2 linked regions of the Diceros bicornis minor genome follow. The protein of the gene in region 2 binds, or shares a complex with, the protein of the main gene of each other region. Links are inferred from orthologs where the notes say so. Each region holds a gene or a part of one and is shown on either strand. Other genes may lie near its edges. The genes, in order: DBN1 and ZMYND8.

Region 1 (3,905 bases), on a different chromosome or scaffold from region 2:
CGCCTCTGTCCGTGCGGCCTCGGTCCGGCCCGCAGCATGGCCGGCGTCAGCTTCAGCGGCCACCGCCTGGAGCTGCTGGCGGCGTACGAGGAGGTGATTCGGGAGGAGAGCGCGGCCGACTGGTGAGCCCCCCGCCCCCGCCCCCCGGCCCTTTGTCCCCGCGCCGCCGCCGCCGCGCCTTTGTTTCCGCGCGGCCCGCCGCCCCGTAGCCGGGAGGGAGGGGAGACCCCGAAATGGTGCAGCGGCCCGGGAGGGCCGGGGAGGGGCTGCCTTTGTGCGCGCCGGGGGAGGGGCCGGCCGGGCGGGACAGTGCCGGGCCCCGAGCGCCCGGAGGCGGCCCCAGTCGCGCGGCGGAGCCGTGGCGGGATGCGGCCCGGAGAGACGCAGGGTCCAGATGTGTGGCCCGGGGCCGCGTGGCCCTGCGGGAGCCCCTTCCCCGCCCCCTGCCCCCGCCCCGGGCCCGGGGGACAGGTGTGCACGGGACGGCCAAGGGCACCTTCGCCACCTTCGAGCGGGCGAGGACCGGGCGGGGATGGGGCGGGGACCGAGCCAGCGGAGCCAGCGCAGCCTGCCTGGCCCAGCCCGGCCCGGCCGCAGCACAAAGGAAAGCCAGGGCGGGGGAGGAGCGGGGCGGGCTGGGGGCCGGGGCGCCCCGCCCACCGGGGGGGCCTCTCCGAGTTGGGATGTGATGGAAAGATGTTCACTGCCACATGGCAACCGCCAAGTGACTCCTGTTCCCCTCAGGGGTCGCGGGGGAGGCAGGGATGAGTCCTCCTCTCCCCGATCTGAAGGGGAGTGCAGGGACGATCTGAAGGGGAGTGCAGGGACGGATCAGCCGGGCTGGGTGATGCCAAGGGGACCCAACTGCCTACCTCGCCCGCCCACTGGGGTCCCTGAGAGGAAGCCGTCAGGCACAGAAATGTGGAGGGAGCCCCCAGAGAGGGATGAGGGGGTGAGTGGATCCACTGAGTCCCTAGCTCCATCACCCAGTGTCAAGGGGCTCGTGGCTCTCTGGTGAGGGAGGAGCTAGGCTGCCCTCTTGCCGCTCTCCAGCTGTTGTCTCCCCTTGAGCTGTGGGAGGGGATGGACTGCCTGCTCTGGAGCCGGAGTCCCCAGGGTGGCAGGAGAGCCAAGGGGTTCCACATTGCTCCATTCAGGAATCATCTTCCCCTAAACACTCTTGCCCTGGGGCAGGTGTCCATTCTGTTCCCTAGGCCCCCTCTTCTTCTGGCAGGCAGGAAACTGAGGCACAGAGTGAGGGCAGGTCTGAGGAACCTCCCTTGGGCTGGCCTCACCCTCATGCTGGGATGGCAGTCAAGTAGGGATACTGACCTGGGGGCTGGAGGAGGGGACAAGATGGCCAGGCGTCCATGCCACAGTACTGCAGCACTGGCGGGCAGCCAGGCCTGGAGGGATGGACGCCAGAGACGAGCTCTCATGTCTTGCAGGTCAGTCATGAGAGAGGTCAGCAGAGGCTAAGCGGGCAGGCGGCCCACCCATTGTCCCAGCCCTGCCCCTGGGGGGCTGAGATCATGGGAGGAGTTCAGGGTAGGTAGCCAGCTTGACCTCATGGAGGAGCTGGCCTTGGGATATGGGCCCTGCCTGGAGAGAGGCACAGCCCACCTCAGAATACCCCCCTCGCCCTCCAGTATGGTGGGCACTGTCCATCACCGCCCCATTTCCCCCTGGTGGCCCATGCAGGGTCGTACAGCCACTGCTGGCCCGCATTCTGCTCAGCAGAGGCCTGGGCTCCCACCACCCAGCAGCATCCATGTGGCCAAAGCGAGTTATTCATCAGTAGTGTACGTCAACCCCCATCTGGGTTGTGTGTGGGACACACACACAGATGCACACACGCACCCTCACACATACACACATTTGCTCACTCCCAAGGGCCCAGATAGCATTTCGTGAAAAGGGTGTGAGGATCACATCCTGCAGAGGGGGCTTGAGTGCCTCCAGCACCCAGCACAGAGCCAGCAGTGCAGGGGGTCTCAAGACTCAGGGGCAGACTCTACATTCAGAGGCTGCAAGAGGGCGTCTTGGGTAATATTGCTGTCTGGACAGAGGAGGCTTGGCACTGCCCTCCCTGACGTTGCCTCTGAGTGGGGGTGTGGGAGGGAGCTCACTCTGAAATGGACCACTGCCCTGGCGCTGGGGGCGGGGGACCCAGGAAGTCAGGTTTTATAGTGGGAAGAGCCCGTGTCGCCGTGGACGTGATACGACTCGCTGTGTGACCACACACAAGTTCCGGCTGCTCTCTGGTCTTCTTGAAAACAGGAGGAGGGGGTTGGCTCAGCCATCTCTGGGACAGCCGGGGCCCTTCCAGCCCTAACGTTCTGAGTGTGATTGTCCTGAGGGGTCTGCCTGCTCTCAGCACCCCCCATCAGCTGACCCAAGGATCTTCCTGCTACATTTTGGCTCCCCCCACCCCAGTCCAGTTTCTCTGGCCTAGGATGGTTTCTCGGAGTCTGTGTCAGTATCACAAACACCTACTGCTGCTGCTCTGGGCTGGCCCCAGAACCCAGAGAGTGATATGTTGATTGATGGGGTTAGTCATCCTGCCTTCACGAAGCTTCCAGTTGGAAGCGTCTGTCTCCAGGAGTGGAGCTAGTGAGACATAGATTCCAGGGCCCCCATCCTGATTCCTTGCGGTTTCACCAGCTCCCACCCTTCCAGGCCCAGGCTGCCTCTGATGTGTTTTCTGAGAAACATGGGTCTAGTGGGATCTGGGGTGGGCTCAGATGCCCCTTCCTGTCCCTGCTAGGGTGTGGTAAGTGCTCTGGGGAAGGGGCCGCTCAGGACAGGGCTTCCTGGGGAGCTGGTATTGGGTTCCTGAGGGACTTCAGCCAGGGGTGGGCATGGGGTGCAGAAGCAGGTCTGGCCTTCCTGAATATGCAAAGGCTTGAGGGTGGGAAATATCCAGAACTGTGTTCGGGATCAGGGAGCCATCCAGTGTGACTGAAGTATGTGGTGTGGATACGGACATCTGGCTGGAAAGGCAGGTGGGGCAGAGCTCAGGGTTGAAGGCCTGTTGAAGGATTTGAACTTCGCTATGGTTTCCACCAGGTAAGGGCTGTGGCCACAGCAGGGAAAGGTAACTGGAGGTGAGGAGGCAAGGGTTTAGAATGGAAGGGCAGGGCAGGTGTTCCTGGGAGGAGCCAGGCCCACAGAGAGGCTGACAGTTCCGCTCAGGGAGATGGGATGTCTAGAGCAGTGTCTGGGAACCAGGGTCTCTGAGTTCTGCCTCAGTGTCTCATCTCATCTGTGGAATGGAGAGAGGCAGACCCTGCTTCTCTGAGAGCCCTTTGTTCCCAGCGGTGGGCTAGGGCAGCCGGACAGGTGGTGGGACAGCTGTGCTGGGAAGCAGCTGCAAGGGCTGGGGCCCGGGCAACAGTTGGACCAGGAGCCTGTGGCCCCACAGCCCACCTGTGTCGATTTCAGAAGAGAGGGATCCTGAGAAGTGGGAGGGCTGGGGGGCCATTTGACTTGTCCTGATCTCATGGGGCTGGACCAGGCCCTCCTTCCTTCCTTCCTCCCTCCCTTCCTTCCTCCTCCCTCTTTCCCTTCCTCCCTCCTTGCTTTCTCCCTTCTTCCTGCCTCCCTCTCCCTTCCTCCCTTCCTTCCTCCCTCTACTTCCTCCCTCCTCCCTCTCTCCCTTCTTCCCTCCTCCCTCTCCCTTCCTTCCTCCCTGTACTTCCTCCCTCCTCCCTCTCTCCCTTCCTCCCTCCTCCCTCTCTCCCTTCCTCCCTCCTCCCTCTCTCCCTTCCTCCCTCCTCCCTCACTCCCTTCCTCCCTCCTCCCTCTCTCCCTTCCTCCCTCCTCCCTCTCTCCCTTCCTCCCTCCTCCCTCTCTCTTTCTCCCTTCCTTCCTCCCTCTACTTCCTCCCTCCTTCCTCTCTCCTT
Region 2 (3,905 bases):
AAATGTGGTATATGCACACAATGGAATATTACTCAGCCATAAAAAGGAACGAAGTACTGATGCATACTACAACATAGATGAACCTTGAAAACGTTATGCTAAGTAAAAGAAGCCAGACACAAAAAGCCACATGTTGTACAATTCCATTTATATGAAATATCCAGAATAGGCAAATCCATAGAGACAGAGAGTGGATTTATGGTTGCCAGGGACTGGGGAGAGGGGAAATGAGGAGTGACTGCTTAATGGGTACAGGGTTTTTCCTTTTGGGGTGATGAAAAAGTTCTGGAACTAGATAGTAGCAGTTGCACAACATTGTGAATGTACGTAATGCCACTGGATTGTACACTTTAAAATGGGTAAAATGGTAAATTTTACATTATGTGTATTTTATCACAATTAAAAAAGCCTTCCACAGCCTGCTCATCTCACGTGGGATAAAATCCCAATTCCTCTGCATGCCCTCCCCTCAACTCCTACCAGCTCCCCCAGCTCACTCCACTCCAGCCACCTCTGTCCTCCACCTTGCTATTTTTCAATGCAACTTTTGCTTTTTTTGTGTCTCTCTTTTGACCTTAAAGTTGTAAGTATTTGTATCTCGCTCTCGAACTCCCCTGCTATGTTATAAACTCTGTGAGTGTAGAACTGTGTTTTACAGATCCTGGGTCCCCTCCAGCAGCATCATGACTATCTATTACAGGAACTCGGTGTTTGTTGAATGACTAAATGATTGCTCGTTTCTACAGAGTTACATCCACTTTCTGGCACTGAGCCATGTCTTCATACCTTCCCACCATAAATCACAACCTTTCATTCCCCTGCTCAGAACCCTCCAATGGTTTCCCATGACTTCAGAACAGTAGTCTGCAAACTACAGCCCCGGGGCCAAATCCAGCCCACACCTGTTTTTGTCTGGCCCTCTAGCTAAAAATGGCTTTTTACACTTTAAAATGGTTGAAGAAAATCAAAAATAAAAATTTGTGGCCTGCATGAATTATATGAAATTCAAATTTCAGCGTCCACAAGTCAAGTTTTAATGCAACACGGCCATGGACATTCATTAGTTTATAGTCCACGCTGCTTTTGTGCCACAATGGCAAGGCTGAATAGTTGCAACAGAGACCATATGTGGCCCTCAAAGCCTAAAATATTTACTCTCTGGTCTTTACAGAAAACCTTTGCAACTCTCTCTTTCGGAAGAAAATCCTGTTGCTCTGAGCATGGCCTGCAGAGCCCCCTCCGGGCTACTTTAAGATGACTCCCCCTCCCTCCCTCTGCGCTGGGAGCACTGGCCTCCGTCCTCAGCTCCTCCTCAGCCTCTCCAGGCTCGCTCCACCTCGAGTCTCATGCGCCCAGTCTCTCCCCCGGAACACCTTCCTTCACATGTGGCTCCTTCTCGACTCAGGTCCCACCTCTTGCCAGAGCCCTCTCCTGACCAGCCATCTGACGCAGACTCCCTTACGTTTTCTGGGACGTCGCCATGTTATTTTCTTCCTAGGACTTAGCACAACATCTAAGCACCGTATTTCTTTGTTTACTTACTTTTTGCCTCTGTACTAAGGCAGGGACTTGTATATCTGTTCACCAGTGTTCCCGGGGCCAGCATAGGCCTGGGGCGTAATAGTTTCTCGATAAATATTTGTCTAATGAGTGGCCTTTTCTTCTTACCTGAAGTATCTATACAAGATCTCCAGTGCATCAACCATGGCCCCAATTTGGACTTTGTAACTTCTTGCACAATCTATTAGGTTGAACTGCATGCAGTTAAAATTTGCATATGAATCTAAAAAGTCGAATACCAGTAATTTCATCGATGGCGGTATGTAGAAATATAAATCAACTAATTCTCCCGTTCAGCTATTTACTGCCCTCCAGCCACCTTGACCTACTTTGGGGTCCTCGAAATGTGCCAGTTGTCTCCTGCCAAACTAGATCCCACCCCTTATGGAGCTTTGCACTTATTCCTTCTGCTTCAGATCCAGGACCAAATGTCACCTCCTCCAGGAGGCCCCCTGGGATCACATCATGTCACAACAGCAGTTTTATTTTCTCCCCAGCACTTAACACATTCTAAAATTAAGTGTTGTTATATTTGCTTTTCCAGGCAGGAAACGTGTCGTTTTCATATATACTGTTGTCACCCAGGGTCTAGAGCAGGTCTGGCACTCAAGAGTGTCTCAAAGCTTATTTGAGTGTAATGTAAATTCCTTGAGCTTTTAACTTCTTAAATAGTTTGGTTGTTACCGGGTACAAAAAACGCTGAACATATACTTGCTAAGTAACTGGAGTGACTTCTCTGGGCTTTAGCCTCCTTCCACAGCCACCCCTGCCTCCATCGCCCTCCTCGTTGTCATGACAACAGCAGCAGCATCCATATTATCATCTTCACCTTGGAAGAGCGCCTTGCACTTATCGAGGTTCACCACGTGCCAGGCACTGTTCTAAGCACATTTTAGGTATTAATTAATTTAATCCTCCCAATAACTCTGGGAACCAGGTACCATTATTACCCTCATTTTACAGATGAGAAAACTGAGGCGCAGAGAGATTAAGTAATTTACCCGTCTGAAAAAGGAAGACATTCAGAACAAAAATGAAGTCTAAGCCCTCTTGGTCTCTAAAATACCGAGAAACAAATACTATGGAGAAAGGGAAACAAAACAGACAGGAAACACTCAAAGGCGATAGGAACCAATTTAGCAACAACAACAAAAAACACACCAAAGGCAGAAAGAAATCCCAGACATAGAGCAATTTGGTCAAAACTCAACTCTCAGGTGTTCTCAGGCCACCAAGCTCCCGGATTTCCCATCCAGTTCTGCAAGCCCCAGACCTGGATGTCACCCTTGACCTCTCCTCTCCCCGCTCCCACCCCAGAGCCCCGTGGGATTTACCTCCTGAGCGTCTTCCACGGTCGATTCCGGCCGCGTAGCTCCATTCTGCAGAGCTGGTGGCTGGCTCTGGAGCCACCATTATCTGTTATCTGGGCAGGAAGGGAACAGCCTCCCACCAGCCCCCAGGCCCCAGGCAGCTCCCATCCCCCACCCTCAGCAGCCAGAGGGATCTTTTGAAATTTCAATTTGGACCAGGACACACCCCCATCTCCCACCCCCCACCTCTAAGACCCTTCAAAGGTTTCCCATTGTTCTCTGGCCAAAGTCTCAAATTCTTAAGTGAGCCTTCGCGGGCCTGCAGGATTCCCTTCTCCAACTTCAGCTCCATTCTCTGAGCTCCAGCCAGACCCCAGCCAGCCTGGAAGGTTCAAATCCTAACGCTGCCATTCACTCACTGTGTGACCTTGTGCGAGTAACTTAACCTCTCTGGGCCTGTGAAATGTGGATAATAACACCTCCCAGAGCGTCATCAGGATTAAATCAGTTCCAGTAGTAAAAGTCATTATTTAGCGCTGTGTCTGGCACCACTTAGTTATCACTGTTGTTATCAGGTATCTCCTACACATCCTTCAAAACCCAACACAGGGGCCGGCCCTGTGGCTTAGTGGTTAAGTGCGGGCGCTCCGCTGCTGGCGCTGCTGGCGGCCAGGGTTCAAATCCTCGGTGCGCACCGAGGCACCGCTTCTCCGGCCATGCTGAGGCCGCGTCCCACATACAGCAACTGGAAGGATGTGCAGCTATGACATACAACTATCTACTGGGGCTTTGGGGGGAAAAATAAAAAAATAAATAAAATTATTTAAAAAAAAAAACACAAAATTCATTTCTTCAAGGTAGCCTTCCTGGACCCACTTTTCAATAAAATGGATCCCCCTGCTATAAGGTGCTTATGGCAATCATAATTTAATATGTAATACATGTTTAGTAACTGAGTATAAATTCCTATTATTGATTTCTTATTTAGTGCCTCTTGTTCAATTCTCTATCTCCCTGGCACATAGTAGGTGCTCA

What was found.
Region 1: the proteins of ZMYND8 (region 2) and DBN1 are in contact, whole or in part, in a crystal structure (PDB 5Y1Z), measured with the Homo sapiens proteins. The link is inferred for Diceros bicornis minor from reciprocal best matches to the Homo sapiens genes ZMYND8 and DBN1. Residues at the interface, in NP_001350670.1 of Homo sapiens: Gln167, Pro168, Gly169, Thr170, Gln236, Ile237, Val240, Lys243, Ile244, His247, Trp269, Leu285, Gly287, Phe288, Phe307, Gly309, Gln310, His311, Asp312, Ala314, Thr335, Lys336, Ser337, Ile338; in NP_004386.3 of Homo sapiens: Met1, Ala2, Phe6, Ser7, Arg10, Leu11, Leu14, Tyr17, Glu18, Asp92, Ala93, Cys96, Ala97, Ala99, Ser100, Lys104, Glu107, Phe108, Gln110.

The regions. Positions count from the first base shown.
Region 1 is NC_080740.1:90,683,017-90,686,921, reverse strand, and holds the start of DBN1 (drebrin), read left to right. Parts: upstream 1-1,014; 5' UTR 1,015-1,083; coding exon 1,084-1,448; intron 1,449-3,905. UniProt on the Homo sapiens protein: Actin cytoskeleton-organizing protein that plays a role in the formation of cell projections. Required for actin polymerization at immunological synapses (IS) and for the recruitment of the chemokine receptor CXCR4 to IS.
Region 2 is NC_080758.1:14,226,693-14,230,597, reverse strand, and holds the start of ZMYND8 (MYND-type zinc finger-containing chromatin reader ZMYND8), read right to left. Parts: upstream 2,978-3,905; 5' UTR 2,939-2,977; coding exon 2,895-2,938; intron 1-2,894. UniProt on the Homo sapiens protein: Chromatin reader that recognizes dual histone modifications such as histone H3.1 dimethylated at 'Lys-36' and histone H4 acetylated at 'Lys-16' (H3.1K36me2-H4K16ac) and histone H3 methylated at 'Lys-4' and histone H4 acetylated at 'Lys-14' (H3K4me1-H3K14ac).